Caenorhabditis elegans: one gene and its partners. The protein of the gene in region 4 interacts with the protein of the main gene of each other region in a pairwise test. Each region holds a gene or a part of one and is shown on either strand. Other genes may lie near its edges.

Region 1 (4,319 bases), on a different chromosome or scaffold from region 4:
GCAATCGCAATCAAGAACACAAAGATGCTGGCCAAACTGACACCATCAGACGAAAAGTGCTTCCAATCAACATGTGGGTCCAAGTTTGTAGCGTTATTCCCGTCGAAAGAGTGAACCATATCGTGCCACCAAGTTCCCATAGTGAAGTTTCCAAAGTATCCACCAAGGTTCATAGGAGATCCCGGGAGGAACACGGATATAACTGCTAGAACCGCAAAAAACTGCTGAACAACCAATCCCAGTAGTCCTGAAGTGGCGACACTGTATCGCTTTTCGAAGAATGCGTAGGAAAACGCTCCAAGGATCGCAGTCACGGATCCATAGGATCTGAATGCTCCGATAACAAATTCCGGAAGCCCTACACTTGAGCCATATCCTACAGCTAATCCATCAAATCCCATCACTGTCATGAATAGAAGACTCATTCCAAATGCAGCTGGGAATGAGATCTGGCACCAGTACGTGTAAACCACAGATTCTTTGAGCCTTGAATTGGCGAATGGGTCTAGCGCTTCATCTTTCTTGTCTTTCTTCACTTGAAGCAGAGGATTGGAGATGTAGATTGCTCTAAGGAAAATGGTTTTTGAAGCCATTGAAACAAGAGAGGCTATACCAAATATTCCAACTGTTTCACGAAGACCAACCCAGGTCACCAGAGCCTTAACTTAGTTTGTTTTTACTTTGGAATTAAAAAGCGAACACAGAACTAACACCAGTTACTAACGGTGCAATAACATTGGTACATTGATCCAATGTCAACAGAGTTGCGTTCATATTCGACAGTGTACCATCATTTCCGAGTACCATAACCCAATCTCTGCCTGTGATGAACTTTTCCGCGTTCAGGAAAAGCCGGTTCACCGCGCATATGCACATTGCTAGAACCAGGCAGACTATGTACCACGGTGACGTGGCATCGATAGACAGACAAGCTTAAAATATTTTAGCTTCGAGTACCTACATCAGTGTCAAATTAGAACTCACTGATAATAAGAGCAGCTGCAGCACAAATACTCAAATTGTTCAACGGTACGACGGTCATGATTGCTGAAATTGAAAACTTGATTTTCTCTTACAAATACTCACGAAATAAGTATTTGATTGTAGTTTTTGTTAGGTCAATGTGATACTTGAACAAATCATTTTTGCAGTAATCGAAATTTGTAAAAATGAATCGTTCACGTGGAGTCAGAACGTCCCATTTTGCTGTGATCTTCGAAAAATGCGAGAGAAGAGACGCAGAGATCTCATCTGATTTTGCATGGTTAAGAGCGTGCTGACGTCACAATTTTTCTGGTAAAATATTCCCATTTGTCGTAGATCGAACCGCAATGAGGCAGGCTGACACCACGGGATCGTTTAGTTGTCTACCGTACCCCGTTTCCTCGAGAGCCCGTCGAAATGCTTTCCTAAATATCCGCTGAGAAACATTTGCAAGACTCCCTCGAAAAGCTGCTCAATGGAAACCACTCTCATACCACCCATCAGGTCCATACAAAGAGAGACACAGAATGACCAAGCCCTGTCTTCCTGTAAATAGTATCGAAAAATTGAATGTTCATGTTTTTCCACATTGAACTAAAAAACAATTTTGAAGTTTATAAAAGTATGCGAATTTCTTTTTTTTTCTTCCTAGTTTTAAATTCCCTCTACACTCACCAAGCATGTCGAAATATAGGCACAATACAAAAATATGCTCGTTTTCGAAAGGGTGCCACTGTTTCGTCGATTATTCGGTTGTTGAAAAGTCATTGTCACAGGAATCAAACTGGAAATCTCTGCACTTCCATCGCCCGCGACACACTTACTGATTTCCATGTTAGCGATAACCTCTATATATTCTGTGATAACGGGCAGGAAGTTCAACAAAGTGTTGGTGCACATACATCATGAATTTTTTCTCTTGTCAATCAAAGATTATTTGAATAGGCCACTCGAGTGCACTGCTCACCGTCTCTTTTTTTTTCATCTTTGCTCGTCTTACCGAACACTTTTTCACGCGATAAATTGTTTGCCGCGCGGCATGAGAAGGCGGAAGATGGTTGGGATAGTTTCAAGCGAGATGGTATATAAGCCCACAATCAAATGGAAATACTCATCCGATACTTTCGGCTCTAATCATGCGCTTCACCTCCCTCGCCATTGCCTTCTTCGCCTGCGCCCTAGTGGTGTCTGTAAGTTGTGCAAGATCTAAAAATTTGAGTCTACGAATATTAATTTTCAGGGCAATGTGCTTCGTGAGAAGAGACAATGCGGATGTGCTCAACCCCAGCAGAGCCAATGCTCGTGCCAACAGGTTCAACAGACTCAATCGTGCTCGTGCCAATCTGCTCCAGTTCAGCAACAATCCCCATCATGCTCTTGCGCTCAACCACAACAAACCCAGAATGTTCAGGTTACTAGCAAACTTATGCTATAGCTCCAAAGAGAGACTTTCAGGTCCAAACCACTCAATGTGCTCCAGCTTGCCAACAGAGCTGCACCCAACAATGCCAGGCTGCACCATCGGTAGCCCAGTGCCAGCCACAATGCCAACAGCAGTGCCAATCCCAGTGCGCTCCAATGTACAATCCACCAGCCACCACCACACCAGCTCCAGTCGTCCAATGCCAGCCAATGTGCCAACAGCAGTGCCAATCCACCTGTGTTCAGCAACAACAACCAGCTTCCCAATGCCAGCCACAATGCCAGCAACAGTGCAACGTTGCCTGCGATGCTCCAGCCACATCCACTCAGGCACCACAAGTAGTCCACATCCAACTCGAGATCCAACAGGCTCAAGCTCAATGCCAACCACAGTGCCAGCAACAGTGTCAATCATCCTGCACCCAACAACAACAGCCAGCTAACCAGTGCAATTCGGCTTGTAACAGCCAGTGCTCCAACATTTGCCAACAAACTGCTCAAGCCACTCAACAGGTCTACAACCAGAACTCTAACACCAACACCCAAATGTACAATCCATACAACAACAACAACCAAGGTTCCGGATCCGCCAACTGCGCCCCAGCCTGCCAGCCAGCCTGTGACAACTCCTGCACTTCTCAGACTCCAGCTCCAATGTACAACCCATACGATGCCAGCACATCCGCCCCAGCATCTTCCCAAGCTGTGATCCAAATCGTTCTCCAATCCTCCGTCGCCCAGTCCTCCCAGTGTACTCCACAATGCGAGCAGTCGTGCCAGCAGCAATGCGTTCAGCAACAACAACCAGCCGCTCAGTGCCAGTCTGCCTGCCAGGACTCGTGCTCCAGCTCCTGCCAAGCCGCTCAGCCAGCGACTACGGCTTGCCAGCAGAGCCCACAAAGCCCACAAAACTCGTGCTCCTGCCAAGCTAACTACTCTCCATGCGGAAATGGACAGTGCTGTAGAAGAAAGTGAACGGACTCTGAACAATGACTTCAAGTTTTTGTATATAATGAAACCAATTAGTTTCACAAGAACTTAATAAACAACTTTGATATTTTAATTGATTTACATTATTTGGTTTTTTATTGTCTAGAAAATGAACAATGACTACAAAACTTATAGCTGGCTCACAGTTTATTGACTAGATTAGCACTAAAAAATAACATGGCCGCTTTTCAAGGAAAGGTTTTTATTTTATTTTATTTTTTAATGTCAGACTTCAAAACGAGACAAGTGCCATTTAAAAGTGTTCCATAAGGATATATTACTACAAAATTTTAAGCGGCAAAGCTCCACTCTCAACCCCTCTAGCATCGATCTGAAACTGTTACAGTGCACTTCTTCACTACTTTGGAGGCCTGTAGAATTGCTCCAAATTTTTTTTGTTGCAAACTTTCAATGTTTTTCAAAACGGTTAAAAGTAGGTAAGCATTCTGGAAAATTTTTGAAAATTTTTAAATTTTTTCAAAAAATCTGAAAAATTTTTGAACCGAGTGGAGTGGATTGAGGAAATTTTTAGATTTTTTTTTCAAAAATTTTTTAAAATTTTTAAAAATTTCCCAGAATGTAAACTTATTTCTAGCCGTTCTAAAAAACATTGAAAATTTGCACAAAAAAAATCAGGACCAATTCTACTGGCCTGAAACAATTTAAGATCGAAATTTTTGGGGTTGAGAGTAGAGCTTTGCCGCTTAAAATTTTGCAGTGACATAGCCTCATGAAACACTTTCAAATGACACATGATGGTTGCATATTACGAAAAAATGTTTCCTATCGATATGTCTCGGTCACCATAGAACCAAGTCTAATGTGAACACGAGACCATAAGAGACATAGAGAGTGAGACGCATTGCATCTTGTGAGTGAAGAGACCTCTGTGCCTCTTTCTCTCTCATCTATCGATTTGCATT
Region 2 (8,365 bases), on a different chromosome or scaffold from region 4:
GATAGAGCGGAATTGTTGAACTGAAAAATGAGTGGAAAATGGAAATGTTTACGAATTTTATTTTAAAAAAAATCTAAAAAGATGAAAAAAATGCATTAAAATTTTTAATTTATTCTATCGGTATTCGAACATTTGACAAAAAATATATTTCTTCTGAATGCAATTTCTCGTTATTTTTTTTGAATTTTTACTTGAATTTAAAAATTTCAAACTTTCTCATTTTTATCATTTTGATGGAAGTTTAATTAAGAGCATAAAGCGCGGATTGAGGCGGAAGGCAGGCGGAGGTCGCCTTAAGGCCAGGCAGGCGTCTTCACGCCTACATGGAAGCCCAGGAAAATACAAAAAAGTCTCCAACCTCTCCGACACGGAAAAGCTGAATATAGGTGTTTTTTCAAAATTTTGAACCGCCATAAAAGCATTTAATCCTTTTTTTTTTTGAAAAGTTTCATTCTGATTTTCCAGAAATAAGTTTCTAGAATTTCAAAGGGCCTAAGCTCAAGCCTAAGTCTAAGCCTAAGTCTCACGATAGTTTTAGGGTCTCAAATTTAAATAAAAACCTGTATCTAAAAAATCAAAACTGTTCTAAAAAAGCACCCCCTGCTCTACTTTGACAGCCTAAAACTCGGTTCGCTTTGGTTTTATCAAACAATTGCAAACGGACAAAATAAGTGCAAAGTGTTTCCCTATATTTTGGTTATTGCAAATTTTTTGGTAAAACTGAAGACAGCCGAGGTATAAGCCGCCACGTGGTGTCAGGCTGTCCCATTACGGTTTGATCTACAAAAAATGCGGTAATTTTTTTCTCAAAAAATGTGACGTCAGCACGTTCTTAACCATGCAAAATCAATTGAGAACTCTGCCGCATTTTTTGGTAGATCAGCGTAGATCAATCCAAAATGAGACACTCTGGCACCACGTGTGCGGGAAGCTTAAATACTCAAGCTTCAGGGGGTTTTTTAAATTTCAAATCTAAATCCTCTTGACAAGAAAAATAGAATGACCAGAAACCGAAGCGAGAAAAAAGAAAAAAAAGTGGCGACCTCTCTTTCTCTCTTCCTGTCCATTGACTAAAAGGCAAATCGGATCGGAAGGTAATCCAGTCGTAAAATTGGTGGAAGGTTTCCTATACTAAAATTATATCATAGAATACGGAGTGCAGGAGGTCGGGTTTTTTTTTCAAATGAATTGATATAATAAAATTGAAAAAAAAACGCTCAAATTTTGTATCATATATATGGGAATAAAAAGTTGATATTTGTCAAAATCATGGAATTTGCTTTTCCCTTGCTTTTTGCACTCAACTTGTCTCTCCTATTCATTCTCTGTTCCCCGCCCGCCCCGCTCCTCGCCGCCCAATTCGTCAGAGGGGTACGGTAGACAAGTGGGTGGAGCGTGCGTGTTATGTAGTGTCCTCCTTTCTGCTCCTCGGCCTCATCACCTTTCACGGCCCCCCGCCCCTTATTCTCTTTATAGTCTCTTTGGTGTTTTCCAACACAAGGGGGAAAGAGGAAACACCTTTTTAATGCGTTTATAAAACTTTTTTAGTGCTCTCTTAATCTTTATTACTTGTCTCGCATGCATGTTTCAACATTTATGTTATTTATGTGCCCCCCCAGCTTTTATTTTATTACCCTCAAAAGGTTTATGAGGTTTAAAATTATTTTATTGGTGCTTAAGGTTTTGATTGCCGCGTTTGTCGCCGATAAATAATAATTACTGTTATAAGCTTATTTACTAATTAATTAATTTTCCGCGTCAAAATCCTAAATATATCGTAGCTAAAGCTTTATATCTAGTTAGTATGGCCCCCCATCAATCGACTTTGTCGTCTTATATTTCAGCGGTTTCATAAGATTTTTGATACCTTCAAAAACCAGAGCATAACTATAGATTTGAAAAAGATATTGTCGTTCGAGTTTTTGACATATGATCAAAAAGAACCGAGATATAAGCGTTCAAAGTCGAGTGAGGGGGGCCGTACTAATAGGAAATATACGGTAAATGACTACTGTAGCTCTTACAAGCCGTGCTAAATTCATTTCAAAAATCGAGCCCGTAAATCGACACAAGTGCTACAGTAGTGTTCAAATATAAGCTTTTTAAATTCTCGTTTTTCTTTTCCTTACTTTTTCAAGCTCAATCTCGCAAAGTGCTCAACTTTCAGGTTCAAAAACAGATCTCCAAACCCAAATAACTCCCCAAGCTGCTCATATATGGAATGATTTCGGTGATGCAACAAATGATTAATAACGACTCTCCAGAAGACTCTAAAGAATCTATCACCTCTGTCCAACAAACTCCATTCTTCTGGCCAAGTGCTGCTGCTGCCATACCGTCGATACAAGGAGAAAGCCGTTCGGAAAGAGAATCTGAAACTGGGTCGAGTCCACAGCTAGCGCCGTCTAGGTTAGTGTGAAGTTGATTTGGCAAATGACATCTATCATTTTCAGCACAGGAATGGTTATGCCTGGAACAGCAGGGATGTATGGGTTCGGACCAAGTCGAATGCCAACTGCCAACGAGTTTGGAATGATGATGAACCCGGTCTACACGGATTTCTATCAAAATCCGCTGGCCTCAACTGGTTGGTACTCATACGGACAACCGTATCAATTCACAGCTAACTACTCCATTCCAAGTCTCGATGGAAATTTAAGTGGTTAGTTCCAACATCTCACTTCTATTATGTCATTGTGCTCTTCCATCTGCCCGCCCACCTCCGCATTCCTCGCTATCACTAGCTTTGATCTTACCGCCGCGAGTTGCAAGGGTAGGAGAACACGGTTTTCTGCTCCGTAACTCGGAACTTTCTAAAAGATCATAAGTCAATTCGCAGCCTATTTGGATCTCATTCCTTTCCTTTTCCGCATAACAATCATAAAATTATTAATTACCGTTGAGACCTCCCCCACCCATAAATTTCGCCTCGCCCTTGCCCAATTAGTAATCGATATCAAATCACACACGCGCCTTCAATTCCTACCGTACCACTTTATCTTCCGATCATCTCTTTTTTTGTTCGTCATTCTTCCTTATATAGAATCTTCTTCATTTTTTTGCCCCCATACAGTAATCGGAGAGTGCACTCTCCTCGCGGCGCCAGCGGCGACCCTTTCAAGTTGTATATGTGTGTGTGTGTGTATCGACGACGTGTATAAACACGCACTGGCGACACTCTTTTTTTTTTGGAGAAAAGGCAAAAAAGGAGAGGAGAAGACTATATCGATAACAGACACTTTACATCAGTTTTATGGTACGGTAGAGAAGGGGCAAAGTGTCAGAAGCTGTGGTTCTAATTATACCAATATCGATTTTTTGTAAGGTATGCCGTATTTTAATGTCTTATGTAAAACGTAGCTTTTAGGATTTAGGTTTTTTTCCTGAACTCATTTAAGTTTATATATTAGCTATTTTCGCTTTTACGGTGATTTGCTTGAATTGCTCAAACAAGTATAGGTAACTCGAATATGATAACTGCTAGCAAAAAATTTCCAACTAACAAAATGTTGCTGTTGATTTTTTCCACATCCTTGATATTGCCATAATTACATAACTTTGTTTACAGCAACTGACATCCGGCGGGACTGTTTTTTCTTTAACTAGAATAGAATTACTAAGTACCCCATGACTTTTGAACTAGGTGTGTATAGCAGTTTATACTACCGTATATTTCCTATTAGTATGACCCCCCCCCCTATCAATTGACTTTGTCGGCTTATATTTCAGCGGTTTCAGAAGATTTTTGGTACCTTTAAAAACCAGAGCATAACAATAGATTTGAAAAAGATTTTGTCGTTTGAATTTTTGAAATATGATCAATCAAAGAGAACCGAGATATAAACGGTCAAAGTCGAGTGAGGGGGGCGCCATACTAAAAGGGAATATACGGTGCACTTTCAGATTTTTTTTAATGCTGGAAGTTGTGAATCACCATTCTCAAATAAAAAAGATCAAAAACCAGTGTAATAGAATCTCAAATCTCAAACCTCCCAGCAACAAATCAACAGTCTATAAAATAACTCAACTTGGCGCCTTATGGTACTTTTCGGGGGGGCGCTATACATGTCCCTATCACTCATTCACAAATTGCCTTTTCGCCCAAAATATTTCGTTTTTCTCCCCGTCTCTCTCGCTTGCTGTGTGTTATCTCCATTTTCGATTTTACGACTCCGTGTGGCTGCTTGGCTTCGTCCCGCTCCCCGTATTTGGAGAGGCAGAGAGACTCTCTTTTTTGGCGTCACGACGACTGCTGCGCAAATTTTCGGATTAAAAACAGCGAGTGGAGGGGGGGGGCAGCCCCCATTTCAATTAGGGGAAGGACAAATTGAGATACGGTAGTTAGGGATGGGCGAAGATGAGGGAGAAAGAGCTGGATGGGGATACGACAGACATGTTGGAGCCTTCTTTGGAATGTTCTTTTGGGATCGGGAAGGGCTATTCTAAAGGTACATAATGTTTTTCTCAGTGGGTCTCGCTACGGCGTCCGTAGTTTTTTTTTATCGATTTTAGTGACACGTATTACTAAAACTAAAAGCTGCTTGTCATGTTGATATAATGCGGAATTCGATATCGAGATTAGCGGGAGAAAGAACTAAGGACTTTAAGCGACTTTGAGCACTTTTTGAAGCATCTAGTAACTTTCTCTATTAGTATTGCACCATATTGTTTAATTTTGAAAGCTTATACCCGAGAAGTGGTACCTTTACGCAGTTTGTCTACCGTATACCTGGCAGTTTGGGTGCGTGTTTCTCAAAAACGGATGGTTCATTTAAAAATTTTTTAATCAAGTTACAGTATTCACAAAAAATTCTAAATTCATTAGGCCAAAGTTTTTTCCTTATAACGCGTCCAATCCGGGTTATGCACGGTGTTCGATGGAGCGCATTTCCACGGATGTACCATTTGCCGTGCCGTGAAAATATTACACGTGGTGCCAGACTGTCCCATCACGGTTTGATCTACAAAAAATGCGGTAATTTTTTGCCCAAAACAAAAGTGACGTCAGCACGTTCTGCGCTTCTCATACTCCCGCATTTTTTGTAGATCTACGTAGATCAAGCCGAAATGAGACACTCTGACACCACGTGATATTACAGTTACGCTAAATTCTGAGAATGCGTGTTGCACAACATATTTGACGCGCATAATATCTCGTAGCGAAAACTACAGTAATTTTTTAAATGACTACTGTAGCGTTTGTCTCGATTTACGTGTCTTCAGAATTAAGTGCAATACTATTACGATAATTAGAAATCTTTAACGCAAGTTTTAGTTTTGAAGAATCGTCGAAGCACCCACATTTTTTGATGTTCCTTTTTTGATTCGATTATGGAAATGATTCACGGCTATGAAAAATGATGTTCTAGAAAAATGACATTCCTGACTAAAAAGTACCGTAACCCTGCTCTAACTTCCAACAGCTTATCCCTTCTCTCTCTGATGCCAGATGTGATCTTCATCTTCTTCCGTATCCTTTCGGCAAGTTGTTCATTTGAAGTTCAAAGTGTATGCCGACCGGGTCCCAGTGTGAGGAGTAGTGTTGTCTAGAATTTTATGACGCTAGTTTTATAGTCGACGACGACGGCGTGCCACTTGCCTTCTCCTACAAATTCTTTGCCCTTCATTGTTTTTTGTTCTGATTTTTTGAAAGATAAAGTACTGTACACTGTACACTTTCGGGTTTTTTTGAATTTTGAAAAAATCGATTCTCAAGTAAGTTTCACAGCAAAAAAGGGTAACTCTATGGCATGACTGAAATGGCAAAGTAAACACCTTTAGAATTCGCAAGCGTAAACTGAATCATCAAATTCAATAAATCGTAAAATGTTGTATCAATAGGGGTCTAGGAGGTATTGTCCCCGTCAAGGATCATCATATATCAAATTGTTGTAAATGGGGAGGATTAGGATATAACAGGTAAACGGAATATGTTGGTATTAAAAGGCCTAAAACATTTACGTAATCTCCGAGCAGAATAGAAGAACACCTGGAGAAACGGGCATGCAAGAAGGCTATAAAATCATCCTGTTGTGGGTAGTTGGCAGATGTTCCCAGGAATTTTGGAAATTTTTTTTTGTAGAAGAGTCCGAGACGTAGTTAGTAATAGTTGAGTAGATCTTCCTTAATTTACTCAAGTTATCAGTAGAGCACGTTTGTATTGATGTACCAGGCGCCCTGCCGTGAGTTATTAGGGAAAGACAAAATTCTGAGAATGCGTATTGCGCAACATATTTGACGCGCAAAATTTCTCGTAGCGAAAACTACAGTAATTCTTTAAATGACTACTGTGGCTTCTTCATATTATTTTCTCATTTTTTGCTCAATTCATTTCAAAAATCAAGCCCCCTGTAGTTTTCGCTACGAGATATTTTGCGCGTCAATAATTTTGAGTTTTGTAATCAGGTACTTTCCCGGAAATTCTTCAACTGTTTGAATTCATATGTCCTTAAAAAGTTGCATAAATTTCACGGAAAACGAGTTAGAGGCTGCCCATCAGGGGTTTGCGGCAAATTTGCCGAAATTACCGTTTGTCGAGCTAGGCAAAATTTGACAATACAATTTTGACCAAAACACTTGATTTTGTCCTCCAAAAATTTAGTAAATTGACACAAAATTAAAAAATTATATCAAAAAGTATCACATTTTTCTGAGCTTAATAAACACGGCAAAATTGCCAATTTTGCCGAATTTGTCTTGCTCGGCAAATTTTGAGATTTGCCGCACAACCCTGGCCCCCCCATATGCTCAGTTTACCGTAATCTAGACAGCTCCTGGCGTCGCCGTCCAATTAATTAGAGTTGAAAGGGACCGGCATGTGTGTCTGCCCCGGGCCTTCTATCCCGAAAACATGGCCCACCCCAATTTTACGACTGGAACCTCCCCCCACCTGCTCTCAGTCTGTGTCATCACACAGACGTCTCAGAATATATATATGCTCCATCTTGTTTTATAGTTATTGATTTACTGCAATCAAAATATTTTATTTTCAGATATCACAATTCCAACGACGGCTGGAAGCAGTGCGGCAACAACTCCGAACGCTGCAATGCATCTTCCGTGGGCAATCTCACATGACGGGAAGAAGAAGCGACAACCGTACAAGAAAGATCAGATATCAAGACTTGAGTACGAGTATTCTGTCAATCAATATCTCACGAATAAGCGGAGATCAGAACTCTCTGCACAATTGATGCTTGATGAGAAGCAGGTCAAGGTCTGGTTCCAGGTATGTTATAGGCAGTATTCAGCGGAAAGTCTAGAGATCATAAATGTGAATTTTTATCTAATGTCCTAATGAAAAAAATTCCAGAAATTTTGGTAAATTCCCAAATTTCCTCATTTTTAAAAATTAATTTTGAGCTTCTCTGGATTTTCAAAAAACGAACATCTGAAAAATACTAAATTTCAATATTTTGAACATTTACAAGGTTTGGGCACTAATAATTGAAAAAATACAATATTTAGCGCCAGCCAAAACGAACTCGAAAAAATTGAAAAATTTTTTAAAATTTCCAGAAAAGTTTTGGCAAAATGCCAAATATTTAAACCTGTTCCGACCTCTAGAATGTTTTATAGGAATTTTTTTGGCAGACTTCCAAAATTATGACTTTCAAAAACTGAGTAATTGTCACTTTTCAAACTTGTCAAACTTGTCAAAATTTTCAAAATTTTTTTGGAAAAGTTTTGCTATCATTTTGGCACCACTGGAGTAGTTTTTAACAATTTCCTCACTGGCGCTAATCCATCAATAACCATACTTTAAAAGTTAAAAATTACTTTTCAGCACGTGGTGTCAGAGTATCCCATTTCGGATTGATCTACGTTGATCTACAAAAAATGCGGGATAAGAGGCGCAGAGTTCACAACTGATTTCACATGGTTAAGAACGTGCTGACGTCACCTTTTTTTAGGAAGAAATTCCCGCATTTTTGTAGATCACACCGTAATGGGACAGCCTGGCACCACTTTTTGTAGCCACACTTTTTTGAACTAAAGTAACATTCGTAATTAATTATCAGAGTGCAAATAAATAAGTTGGACATTTGTGAATTCACGTAAAAATGGAAATGTGCAAAAAGGAGGCAAAAGGTGAGCAGGTTTCAGGCAGGCATCAGGCCTTGAAACCGCATCTGCCTACCATGAGAAATAATTGAAAACTTTAGAAACCTGAAACCGCGCCTGAACATTGTCAAAAACCGTAAATATGTTGTTTTGTCTAAACTCCAACCATTTTAACATTGCATGAATTGTTTTGCTTTCTCTTAACTTCACTGTTTCAGAATCGACGAATGAAGGACAAGAAACTGCGTCAACGACATTCCGGGCCATTCCCCCACGGTGCTCCAGTCACTCCGTGCATCGA
Region 3 (5,703 bases), on a different chromosome or scaffold from region 4:
TTTAAACTTAAAAATATAAAAAAAAATTCCCGCCGATCGCAAGCTGCAAGTGCGCTCTAATGAGAAAAATAGGATAATTTTGATTTTGAGGGGGTATTTGAGCACATTTTGTTATTTTTGAAAATGAAAGTTTTCTTTAAACCTAATTAACTAAAATTTAAACTCAAAAATTTGAATTTCCACTGACCGTGAGCTGCAAGTGCGCCCCATTGAGAAAATACGTAAACAATGTTTTTTCCAAGATATTTGAACTCAACTAACCATTTTTAACTAAAAGTTGTGTTTTAAAACACCTAAAAACAAAGTTTTCTTTATGAAAATTCAAATTCATGCCGACCGCACGTTGCAAGTGCGCCCCAATGAGAAAATACGCAAAAACTGAGTTTTTACTGGAATTTTCACGCATTTAGCTATTTTTTGAGCGCAAATTGTCTTAAACTTATTCGAAAAACAAGTTTTCTTTTTAAAAAATTTAAATTCTCGCGGACCGCATAATGCAAACGCGCCCCAATGAGAAAATAACTGGAAAATCGATTTTTCTTGTGATTTTCCAACAAAACCAACAATTTAAACTGTTATATTTATTTACCAGTTTTGCTAAAACCAAAAAAGTGCAATTTCGAACTAAAAATTCAAATTCCCGCGAAATTGCTGGAAAATCACGGTTCAGCGAAAATTTAAAAGGAATCGATAGAAGTTAATGTGAAAACAAGAGAAACAAGTTTTCCTATTGAAAATTCAAATTGGTATGTTGCAAATGCGCCCCAATGAGAAAATTGCTAAATTTTCAGGTTTTCACCACCAAATTTGTTGCAGAGTGTTCCCACAACAAAAAAGCAATGAAAAGCAGTGGAGGAAAAGCTCCCAGGAATCAATTCTCCCCGAAAACCTATAAAACTCAAATGAGCCACTTTAATTCCGTCTCATTTGATATCCCTGAGACGTAGACAGCCGCTGATTTTTATTTTTTAAAAAGGTTCAGAGGGGGGTAATCATGAGAAGAACGAAAAAAATTGGCGGCAAAACACAAAAAGAAATAAAAAAAAAATCGAAAAGAGACACACAAACAAGTCTATAAACTGTACGAGAGGGAGAGAATTAGAGAAAAATAAATTTTGCAACCAAAAAAAAAAAGACAATTCAGACATCCTCCCCCGAATCGGCTTTTCCCGAAATTGGTGTGCTAACAAATTTGTGACATTTCCCGTTTGGATGGGCCTCGTGGTACTTGGTCGGGTCGAATTGCGATACAATCAGCGAGATGAAATCCTTGGCGCTCTGGAAATTCAAATTTATATAAGGCTACAAGTGCGCTCTAATGCGAAACTCACCTCATTCTCGAGCATTTCCATAACCTCGGCGTGGGTGGTGGTGTTGGTCACGAAGGTCCCATCGATCGCCAAGATACGGTCGTTCACACGGAGCTGGAAATATGAAGTAGGGGTACTGTAGGGAGAGAGTACTGTAGGGAGAGGGATACTGTAGGGAGGGTGATGTAGGAATAGGGTACTGTTGAGAGAGGATACTGTAGGGAGTGGTACTGTAGGCAGGGGATACTACAGGGAGAGATACTGTAGAGAGCGGTACTGTAGGAAGGGGGTACTGTAGGGAGGGGGCACTGTAGAAATGGGGTACTGTAGGGAGAAAATACCGTAGTAAAGGAGTACTGCAGGGAAGGGCACATTAGGGAAGGGGTACTGTAGGAAGGGGTACTGCAATAAGGATGAACTGCTAAAAGAATACTATAGAGGACTGGTACAGTAGGGAGGCAGTACTGTAGGTAGGGGTACTGCTGGAAGGTTACCGTAGGAAGGGTACTGTAGGCAGGGGTACTGTAGTAAAGGAGTACTGGGGAAGGGGTACTGTAGGGAGGGGTACTGTAGAAGTGGGGTACTGCAGGCAGGGGGTACTGTAGTAAGGGTGTACTGTAGAAACGGGTACTGTAGAGAGAAATAACTGCAGTAAGGGGGTACTGTAGGGAGGGGTACTATAGGAAGGGAAAGGGTACTGTAGGAAAAGGGGTACTGTAGGAGTACTGTACCTGATCATCGTCCGCCATCGACCGCTTCAACTTCCCAGTGACCACGACCGGACGGAACTGATCACAACCTCCCTGAATAATTCCATTTCTTCAAATTTTTTGGCTTTTCGGCACCAACCGTAATCTCGAGCCCAAGCCCCTGATTGATATGCTCTCTCATGAGAATCACGAGCCGCGGAGAGCTCTGCCAATCGTCTCCGTTCTCAAATGCAGCATCACCAAGGTCCGACGAGTTGATCCTGGAAAATTTTTTGATGCTCCAACAAGTTCCCACAGAAATCCATCACCTACCGATTGATGAGCCAAAGCGTGTTGAGACGCAACAAGCGGTTCTCCTTCTCGATCTCGTCCCACAGTTTCGATTTGACGGCCGACTCGATCGTTGCCGCGTTGCGCACCAAATCCATCATCTGTCGCATTGCTGCCAGCTCCTGTAATGAGTCTCATGGGAAAGTGTGGGGAGGGGACATGATCATGTAAAAAATGATGATGCGTAGGGGCCAAAAATCTAGAAAAAAAGTGGGGGAAATGTCATGGTGCATCGACAAAATGTTTAGGCTGAAGCTTTGGCTTGGGTTTTGGCTTAGGCTTAGGCTTAGGCGTAGGCTTAGTATTAGGCTTAGGCTTAGGTTTAGGCTTATGCTAAAGCTTAGGCTGTGATCTAGGCTTACGCTTAGACCAAGGCTTAGGCTTAGGCTTACGCTTATGCCTAGGATTAAGCTCAGGCTTAAGCTTGGATTAAGGCTTAGGTTTGGGTGTAGGCTTTGGCTGAGGTTTAGGCTAGCAAAAAATGTGGCCAAAGTGGAAATCACCAATTTTTGGGTAACCAGAGCTACCTGAACCTCTACCCCACATGGTGCATCGACTAGGTAGAACCGTACCCTTGCGTAGAACCTGGTTGCCATGAGATGCATGACACTCTTCTTGGACACCTCATTGATATGCTTCGCCATCCGCTCGTTACGCCGCTTCTCCACGTTGAGCTTAGCCTCCACAAGACGGTGCTCCTGGATCCTTTCCATATTGTCACCGACTTCTTGTTTCTGAAATATTAAGCGTTGAAGTAGGCAGGTAGGCACGAAAGTGCCTGCCTGCCTAGTACTTGTAGGCACCTAGGTAGGTATAGGCAGGCAACATTCCCTCACCATATCATTGAAAATCTGCCTGGAAGTCGCGTCTCCCTGATGATTCGCGGCCAGCAACAAGTGGAACTGCTGGATGACGTCATCATGGGCTTCAGCTATGGCACGAAGCTCCACGAGCTCCTGGAGACACTCCTCACGCTCCTTGATTGCCAATTTCTTAGCGGATTCTTCACTGGCGGACAAAGTGCAAACCTGGAAAAATAGTTTGTGATAAATTAATAAATTATCGATTTTTCTCGTCATTGCCAAGTTTTCAATAACCGAGAAAAAGGAGTTTTGAAGTAACTATTGGAAACTTTTCAAATTCCCGCCACAGTTTTGTACCGGGATACCGAAAAGTCGATACATTATCGATTTTTTCTAAAATTTTTAAACTACCGCCCGACCGGGATTTTAAAGAAACTTTATACTAAACAAAATTCAAACCGTTTTTCGATATTTCGAGCCGGATAGCTAACAATTTTCACAAAAATCGATGATTTCTTACTGATTTTCAAAGCGAAATTTTTAAATTCCCGCCTGACCACGCCTACTTTTAGTCAGCGGAATATCGGAGTGTCGTTGGAGTGCGACGAAAAATCAATAATTTTTTGAATGACATTTGCCGGAAAACTGACATTTTTCCAAAAAATCAATATTTCTCCCAGAATTTTCAAATTCCCGCCCGACCGGAAGATCATATTACCTGCGTAAAAACATTCGAAATTGCCTTCAAATGGGTAATCCAGTCGTCCTTCTCATCGGAAGCCAGCGCCTTGGACATTGCCGTATTGAAGACAGCAGTAAGACGATTGATTTGTTGACACGTCATTTATTGATTTTTTTGCGGAAGAAAAATCGATAAACTCAAACAATAAAAGATTTTTATGCAAAAAGTTGGAAAAAGCCAAAAAAAAATCCAATGAGTTGGAGGAAATGACGTGGCAATTAGGGGGAGGAGGAAAGTCACGGGAAAATATACAAAAAAAAGTTTTTTTTTTGAAAAAAAAATTAAATAAAACCCGTCAAAAAATTCCACATTTTGGAGGTCACGTGCTGCGTGATTCATCAGAATTGTTGGACGATCGGCTTGACGTGGGCTCTTCCATACTGTAGAGGTTGTAGCTAAAACAAAAATTTAAAAATTTGACTGGGAATTCGAATTTTCTGTTGAAATTTGGCCGAAAATTTGAATTTCCCGTCGAAAAATTAACTAAAAGGTTGAATTTCCTATAGAAAAACGACAAAAAATTGGAATTCCCCGCCGAAAAATTCATTAAAAAGTTGAATTTCCCCCAAAAAATAGGCTGAAAAATTGAATTTCTTGCCGAAAATAGACAGAAAATTTAGAATTTTTTGTCGCAAATTGACTAAAAATTTGAATTTCCTATAGTAAAACGACAAAAAATTTGAATTTTCTATTGAAAAATGACCAAAATTTTGATTTTCCAGTTGAAAAATTAACTAAAAAATTAAATTTCCAGTTAAATGTTAACTGAGAATTTGAATTTCCTCCCTAAAACTGACTTATAACTTGAATTTCTAGCTCAAAATCAATTGGAAATTTAAAAATCCCGCCTAAAATTAACTGGCAATATGAAAATCCCGCCAAAAATTAACAGAAAATCAAAATTTCCAGCTGAAAATCGATTGAATATTTAAATTTCCCGCTAAAAACTAACTGGAAATTCAAATTTCCCGCCGAAAAATTCCCAATAACTCACATAGATCCATCGCTGTGCTCGATCGTCACCGTCCCATCATCATCACTATCCTCATCGGGGCACACAAAGACGAGCTCCAGGTCTAGGTCGCCTTGCTGTACCTGGAATTTGGAGGGGATGTAGGTGGAGGGCCCCTGGCAGCATCTTACCTGCCCACTCAAAATATCCACTGCCTCCTGATGCTTGACAGTCCGAAGATCGTAGCCGTTTACTGAGAGAATCGCGTCGCCCACAAAGACCTGTCCACATCGGTCAGCAGGCTGTCCCGGCTGGATTTCAGATATCACTATGGGTAGAGCGTGTTCGGATCCTCCCTGGAAATGGATTTTAGGATCCAGTAGGATTTTTTAAGATCTTGAAGAACTAGGATCCATCCGGAGCTCCGCAAACTATCTGGAGTAGTTTTGAGCTATGCAGCAGAACTACAAAAGCAGGGGTTGTCAGAGTGTCTCATTTTAGATTGATCTACATTGATCTACAAAAAATGCGGGAAAAGAGACGCAGACTTTTCAACTGACTGGGAGAAAAATTCCCGCATTTTTTGTAGATCAAACCGCAATGGGACAGCCTGACACCACGTGCAAAAGTACCTCATAATCAGATGGCACATTTGGTCTTACGGGAACTGGATCAACTCTCAGATCTTACAGGATCCCGTGGATCCCCAAAGGAACAAGTCTAGTCAATGATCTACTGGCCCAAAACCATCCAAGTCCCCCCACCTACCGTAATAGAAATGCCGAGCCCTTCGTGCGGGTGTTTCGAGAGCACCACTTTCCTGCTCTTTCCCACTCCATTTCGTTTTCGGAGGCTC
Region 4 (6,354 bases):
CTTTTCTACCCGCATTTTTTACAAATCATTGAATTATTCAAATTAAATTCTCACGTGAATGCGGGGTAGAAAAGGAATAGTACCCTCATTGTATATACATTTGAAACAATGCAGATTAATTTTATATACAAGATATAATAATTAAAGAAGTAAACATGCCTACCAGGTTTTAGATAAAACAAATTATCTAAACCCTTGGAAGGTGATATATTTTCCTTTCACCTTATCTGTCATCTGAATATCTCTTTTGCTAGCCTCTTGAAATAGTTTTTTTTGACTGCTTGAATTCAATCTAGTTCTCATGAGAATCAATCTTTTCTCTCCGTCCAATAAGCATGTGTATGTATTTATGTTTCAACCGGTTTTGTCAAGTCTTCAATTTAAAGTCACTATCTAGACGAAATGCTTGGCTCAGTTTGAAACCTGGGCTTCTGAATTGATTTAAATTGCTGAAACTTTAAGTTAGCTTTACGGTTTGAGCAAACAGAATGTAGTTTGATAAGGTTTAATAGAAATTTTTAAATGTACTGATCTGATCTAAAAATGCTCAGAAGCTGATTATTTCCCCTCACTTTATACATATTGAAATTTGGTTTTTCAAAGAGCAGCCTGGTGAAAATTGCAGATCTAAGTTAAGTTTTGGTATTTCATTCTAGTTATTATGCAAATACATTCTTTTCTGAGAAATTAAGACAATCTCTTAAATTAATTACATTTTTTTTTGTAATTCCAAACAGCTGAAAATGTTTGCATTTGTATAATTTTAACTATGTATAACAGTAGTTATTTATTTTTAAGCAAAACTGTTTTGAGCTAGATTTCACATTTTTCAACTGTTGTTTCAGCAAATATGACAAATTTTGATAGTTTTGAACGTGATTATAAAATTTTGAGAAATTTATTGACGGGAGCTTGAAAAAACATTTTATTTCATTTTACAATGCAAAACTTTTCTCATTCTAAGACTTAAATGTGAATAAAGTAACAGTGTCATTATTTTTTATTGAAAATTGTCATATTCAAAATTGATAGGTTAAGCTGATAAAATAAGAGAATTTTGTTTTAATATAGTCAAAAAATATTCTAAATATCTTACAGTTTTAATTTAATTTTAATTCTATAGGAAAAAAAATGAATAGTGTCTTCCCATCTTTGAAGTTATTTTTGAAAACTGATATACTAACTAATGTTCCCAAACTGTCTTAAACCAAAACATTTCTTAATTTTTTTTAAATAAAAAAAATGGGATGAGATGATTATGGACTCTCTCAATGTTTTTTGTTTTGTTATATGTATAAACTACTCGTTTTTAGATAGGGATAGCCATTTAACTTTAATTTTTATGGAAATATCTGGATTGCAAATTTTTGTGCATATTGATCTAAACTTCTAGAAACCGGGTAATTTTATGTATGTATAAAGGCGGTTGTGAAAATCTGGGAAATTGGCGCAACAAATGTAAGACGGGTTTTATTGTTGTCGAAACGTTGTGTGTGGGGCCGCTCCTGGTGCGAGTGCGTACGACAAGCCGGTTATTGAGAAAACGCGAACAAATCGAGGACCGGTTTTGGATAGTTGTCCGCATCGATCCTCCGCACACTGTCTTTGCTTTTGCCTCTTTTTCTCTCTCTCACCGCACAGGCCCATCAGCCCGTTTCTACTGCCTCTATACACTCCGCTTTGCCTGTGATTCTAATTTCTCTCAAAGTTTAATAACTCAACTTGTTTTTTATTTGTTAATTTTATAAAATAAAATAATTAATTGAATTATTACGTTTCATTTTGATTTGTGATTGAAAAAAATCAATTAATAGTTAAAAATCATTCTGCAAAATTGCACAAAGAATTTTCTCTGAGGTACTTATTCCAAAATGTAATACTATTTTTAGTTTAGAAAAAAGGCTGACTGACAGTTCAATTTAATTTTGAATCGCGTTAAACTTCGCCGATATTTTATTGTTTTTAATTTTTTATTTTTGATCCCTATCTCTTTCTTCCAGATCTGTAAAAAATGAAGCAAGTAAAAGCCGAAATTGTGGATTTGGAGTACGAAGAAGCTGAAAAGTGGCAAGAGCAGGAGGACGATGAAGATGCTCTGATGATTGCTCGAAAAATAAAACAAGAATTTGACGAAGCAAATACCCCTTCACCAGCTCCACCACCAACGCACATTGTGAGAGAACGGTATGCTTATCATTTTAATTAGTTTAAAAATGATAAAAGTCTGTCTTTATTTTTCAAAACTCAGAGTCCAATTTCTTTTTTCTCTCCGTTCGAAAATGTTCTGGTGGCACATAAATTCACATAAAACCGGGTGCCCGGCTCGCGAGCCACTTGCATAAATATACCGGTCGGTGACCGTCTATTTGCGGCACGCAATGATCAATCGAAACTTTTGTCGTTTTATTTTTTAAAGACCGGTTATTCGTTAGTAGATTTTTTTGCCTTTGAAAACAATTATTGTTATGACATCAAGCTACACATATAAATTCATTTATTAAAAAGTAGCTGAATTATTATGTGTTTCCAGTACTTTTAACATTTTCCACCAAACAGTTTCGAATTGTTAAAAGAAATTCTAGGTGCATTTAGAATGAAGTCTGAATTTTAAGCAATTGAGTTTTAAGCAGCAAGTAGCAGCATTTTAAATAGCAAGTATCTCATAATTGACCATAAGTTTAAAATGTTTGGCCACTTACAAAAAGGGAAAAATATGATTTAAAAGGGCTCCAAATCCAGTTTTTTTTTTGAAAAATCAGGTGTGTAAAGGAAAATCTAAACATCTGAAATTGATAGTTACTCATCAAAATTAATTTTAAAAAACTTAAATTATGAATGTATTTTAAAACAAGTTAAAACAAACTAACACAAAACTTCTTATGCAATTTTTTAAATTTTTTAAGCAGCGATAGTTTTTCTATTAGTGGCGTTTTATAATTATACAGTTTTTTAATTGTGAGCTTTGTGAGCTGGCTTAATCATTCCATTATTATCAAAACAACAATTAATTATCTTCTATAATACACGTCTTTTCTCTATGCTTTTAAACAGAGAAAAACAAGCTAGATATATTTTTTGTCGCGAACTAAACCCGGAAGTACGTATCCGTCACTACTTCAATCACTAGAATTCATTTAAAATGAGGGAAAAAGGATGACTGGTTAATTAATCCGGACATTTTGGCATTATTCTGACAGCTGATGTGGAGATCAGAAAATAAAAATGCGAAAAGTCCGTTACATCACACACTAATCTCATTGTGCAAGAGGGCAACAATTCTCTGGTCGATCTGCAGAAAAGTGTAACAATGGTGTAAACATACAAAACCTGGGATAATGAGTTTTGATCGGGTGCAAATGTTTCAGTTTAAAAATAAACTGAGATGAGAGATAATGATGCGAGTTTGAGCCGAGGGGTTTTTATTATGAAATTCATATAATTTAAAACATCAGAAAAACAACGTTAGAATGTGAAACAAGCAAATACAATTTAAAAGTTTTTAATAAGATTGAAATTCGAAAAAAATTCTTGAAACGAAAATTGGTGCATAATGTAAAAACTTTTACGTGGATGTTTCAGTGAAACCATATTTTATGGTCGAGTTTGCGCAGAATGATTATTGCAACGAATGTGCTTAATATACTAGTTGTAATCACAGTGTAACCGATTTTATTCAATTAAAATTTTTTGTATATTTTAAGGATTGGAAATATTCATCTCACAATTTAAAAATAATAACAAGAGTGTTGAAATACCGGAAATTGATTCAAAACATTTTGCAGTACAACAATGTACGCAAAAATATTTTCTCTTCTTAAAATCAATATTCCCTTGTAAAAAATGCATAGAAAAACGTTTTTTGTTTTCATTTCATGTAATTTTCAGACTACGTCAAGTGGAAGTCGAGCGACCTTCTGCCCCAATTGTTTTCGATCATTTCATTTGTATGCGCATTGGATTAAATTCTAAAAACAATGTTCAGAGGCTGATGGCTCTTTTGGTATGGCGTTGGACGTGTGTTATGGCATTTATATAGTTTTTTTTTTTAATTTCAGACTGCCCATGAATTTGTTGACCTTACTGTGCTGCCAGGACCGTCAATGATACCGCCTCCTCTACCTCAAATGATCCCGATGGGTAAGAAAAATGCCTTTTTTAATCAAAAATAACTAACTACAATATTTGAAAGCCCGAGGTGTGAACAAAGCATTTATTTTATTTTCAGGAATCCCACGTCACAATTCTGTTCCACCAACCCGTTTTATAGGGGCATGCCAACAAGAGGCATCCACTTCGAATGGAGCACCGCATGAAATAATTAACATGGATTCACATATAAGAATGACGCCACAGTTCCCAAGTGCCAAAGCAAAACGGAGTATGGTCAGAAAATTGGCGCAAAAGCCGATTATCAGATCCATGGTAGGTAAAAGTAAAAATGTATCGAAAATACATGCTAACGTTTAGACATCAACAGAATGCGGTATATTTCCGATAAATATGCAGTGCAGGAAGTGTGATGAAATACTACCAAAAGGGTCACAGTAAGTTTTTTTAAAAATTTTTTGTCAAATGAAAAAAAAGCGTATTAAAAATTGAGTGAAAATTGTTTTTTTTTTCAGGTGCTTCATAATCGTAAAACATGACCGAATTTATTAATAAAGTTTATTTTAAAAAACTCTCAAATATTTTCATGGTCTTTCATGCCAATTAGCCCAAATCTTTAAGTTTGTCATCAAAAATTGAATAGCTGTTTAGTGCACTCGTCAACTGAAAAACTATTTGAACTTAAAAAATTCAATACGTTGTAGATTAAAGATAAAAAGCAGTCCACATGGGCTGCTATAAATACATAAGAAAGGGGGTGGAGAAACTGTAGGAATGGCGGGGCAAAAGCACTTTGACAAAAGGTACTGTGATAAAAGCAAGATCAAATATTGCTGATATTAATTATATGGGAAACAAAAGATGAAAGAAGAGATAGAAGAGTACGAGTTCTCGTACACCCTGAATGAAGTTGAGACATTTTTGTATAGTCTCGATAAAAAAGATCAGTGGGGCTTTTGATTTTTTCAAGAGATTTGTAGGCATTTTTAAATTATCTAGGTGAACAAACCCATGGTAAACAAACTCAAAACATTATTCGTAAAAATATATTCCATCAGTTTCTCAACAACTTTTTTCCAGCGGATCGAGTGCCTTGAATCATGTGCAGAAAAACCATCTGAAAATGGCAGCATTTCAGTGCAGAATATGTAAACATTACCGGACAACACAAGAACGAGTAAGTATCTATTTCAATTGCTTTTTCAAATATGATTATTTTTTAAAGATACAATCTCATGTGACAACAGTACATAAGGCAAAATCCACAAAGTTCGACTCATCATTAGCCGGGCCGTTATCAGCTGAAGACATGAAGAAAATGGAAGAAATGATTACTTATTGCTTCCCAAGACTGAAAATGGTAGGTATTCAACGGTACTTTTAAAATAAATCTCTTTTTTATTGTAGGAACTTCAAGTAACTGATCGCCTTATTGCAAAAACTATGGAAGTGGATCTCAGCGGAAACAAATAAACATATGCAATTCAATATAATAAACTAATTCATTCTTTAAATTTTATTCTTATAATTTTTCATCAGATTTCTCGATTAGAACTTTGAAAAAGTACAAAATCTCTAGTCCAACTTGTTTGCTTTGTCACGCTTTGTTTAAATAAAAATGAAGAAAATTAACGATATTTAGATTTGGGTTTTTCAAAAATCATATTATACACATGCATTCTTATTATTATTCAACTATTGGAGCATTTTTTATCGGTTATATTAAATATTTTCAAGGTTATAAAAATTAAGTAAATATGACATCAAATAATCGGGTACAGTGCTGGTCATGAAGGTATGCACAAACGACTTTTCGTGAATGTGGGGCTGTGTTTAAAAACCATAACTCAATAAGCTAAAAATTGGTTTCGAAAACGGTAAACTAACAAAATGTTAAAAAGGTAAAGGTAAAGGTAGTTCATTATGTCGTTCAAAACATGTTTCAGACGTGTCTCATATATTTTAGATATTGAAATATACTTGAAATATACAGGAAGAAAATGTGATTTCTTACAACAAAAAATACAGATGAAAAGTGTTATATGCAAGTTTTTATCTCTCCGGAATATCAACTTTTAGTGTTGCGTGTCACTTCACACTTCACAGTCACTTTTTGTCTGTATTGTCACATTATTGTGTCCCAACTTTTGTACTATTTTGTACTGTTTGAACATACTGAATAGTGTAGTCAGATTAGCAATTCAACGTTTTGCCTGCAATCAACAGCTATAAATAAGTAGTATCATA

Evidence for each region.
Region 1: the proteins of F57G12.2 (region 4) and pqn-54 interact in a two-hybrid assay, tested with the Caenorhabditis elegans proteins (one large-scale study listed by BioGRID).
Region 2: the proteins of F57G12.2 (region 4) and nob-1 interact in a two-hybrid assay, tested with the Caenorhabditis elegans proteins (one large-scale study listed by BioGRID).
Region 3: the proteins of F57G12.2 (region 4) and ZK849.1 interact in a two-hybrid assay, tested with the Caenorhabditis elegans proteins (one large-scale study listed by BioGRID).

The regions. Positions count from the first base shown.
Region 1 is NC_003283.11:1,462,894-1,467,212, forward strand, and holds pqn-54 (Prion-like-(Q/N-rich)-domain-bearing protein), read left to right. Parts: upstream 1-2,096; 5' UTR 2,097-2,120; coding exon 2,121-2,174; intron 2,175-2,224; coding exon 2,225-2,395; intron 2,396-2,439; coding exon 2,440-3,381; 3' UTR 3,382-3,467; downstream 3,468-4,319. Other genes in the region: fpn-1.2 (Solute carrier family 40 member), read right to left, coding at 1-659, 712-932, 985-1,047, 1,377-1,530, 1,660-1,752.
Region 2 is NC_003281.10:12,078,119-12,086,483, reverse strand, and holds the start of nob-1 (Homeobox protein nob-1), read left to right. Parts: upstream 1-2,167; 5' UTR 2,168-2,221; coding exon 2,222-2,409; intron 2,410-2,453; coding exon 2,454-2,662; intron 2,663-6,992; coding exon 6,993-7,228; exon of another isoform or gene 7,229-8,282; coding exon 8,283-8,365. UniProt on the Caenorhabditis elegans protein: Transcription factor, involved in posterior embryonic patterning, morphogenetic movements of the posterior hypodermis, and cell fate specification. Binds to the 5'-TAGT-3' motif in regulatory elements of genes, including Meis protein psa-3 and microRNA mir-57.
Region 3 is NC_003279.8:14,181,647-14,187,349, forward strand, and holds ZK849.1 (PDZ domain-containing protein), read right to left. Parts: upstream 4,062-5,703; 5' UTR 3,950-4,061; coding exon 3,872-3,949; intron 3,379-3,871; coding exon 3,187-3,378; intron 3,085-3,186; coding exon 2,923-3,084; intron 2,473-2,922; coding exon 2,333-2,472; intron 2,281-2,332; coding exon 2,160-2,280; intron 2,114-2,159; coding exon 2,042-2,113; intron 1,425-2,041; coding exon 1,332-1,424; intron 1,279-1,331; coding exon 1,141-1,278; 3' UTR 949-1,140; downstream 1-948. Other genes in the region: gopc-1 (Golgi-associated PDZ and coiled-coil motif-containing protein), read right to left, coding at 4,215-4,290, 4,890-4,990, 5,039-5,203, 5,616-5,703.
Region 4 is NC_003284.9:12,155,697-12,162,050, reverse strand, and holds F57G12.2 (C2H2-type domain-containing protein), read left to right. Parts: upstream 1-1,998; 5' UTR 1,999-2,011; coding exon 2,012-2,184; intron 2,185-3,885; coding exon 3,886-4,000; intron 4,001-4,055; coding exon 4,056-4,137; intron 4,138-4,225; coding exon 4,226-4,422; intron 4,423-4,467; coding exon 4,468-4,544; coding exon of another isoform or gene 4,545-4,548; exon of another isoform or gene 4,549-4,611; intron 4,612-4,787; exon of another isoform or gene 4,788-4,849; intron 4,850-5,187; coding exon 5,188-5,284; intron 5,285-5,332; coding exon 5,333-5,467; intron 5,468-5,514; coding exon 5,515-5,580; 3' UTR 5,581-5,744; downstream 5,745-6,354.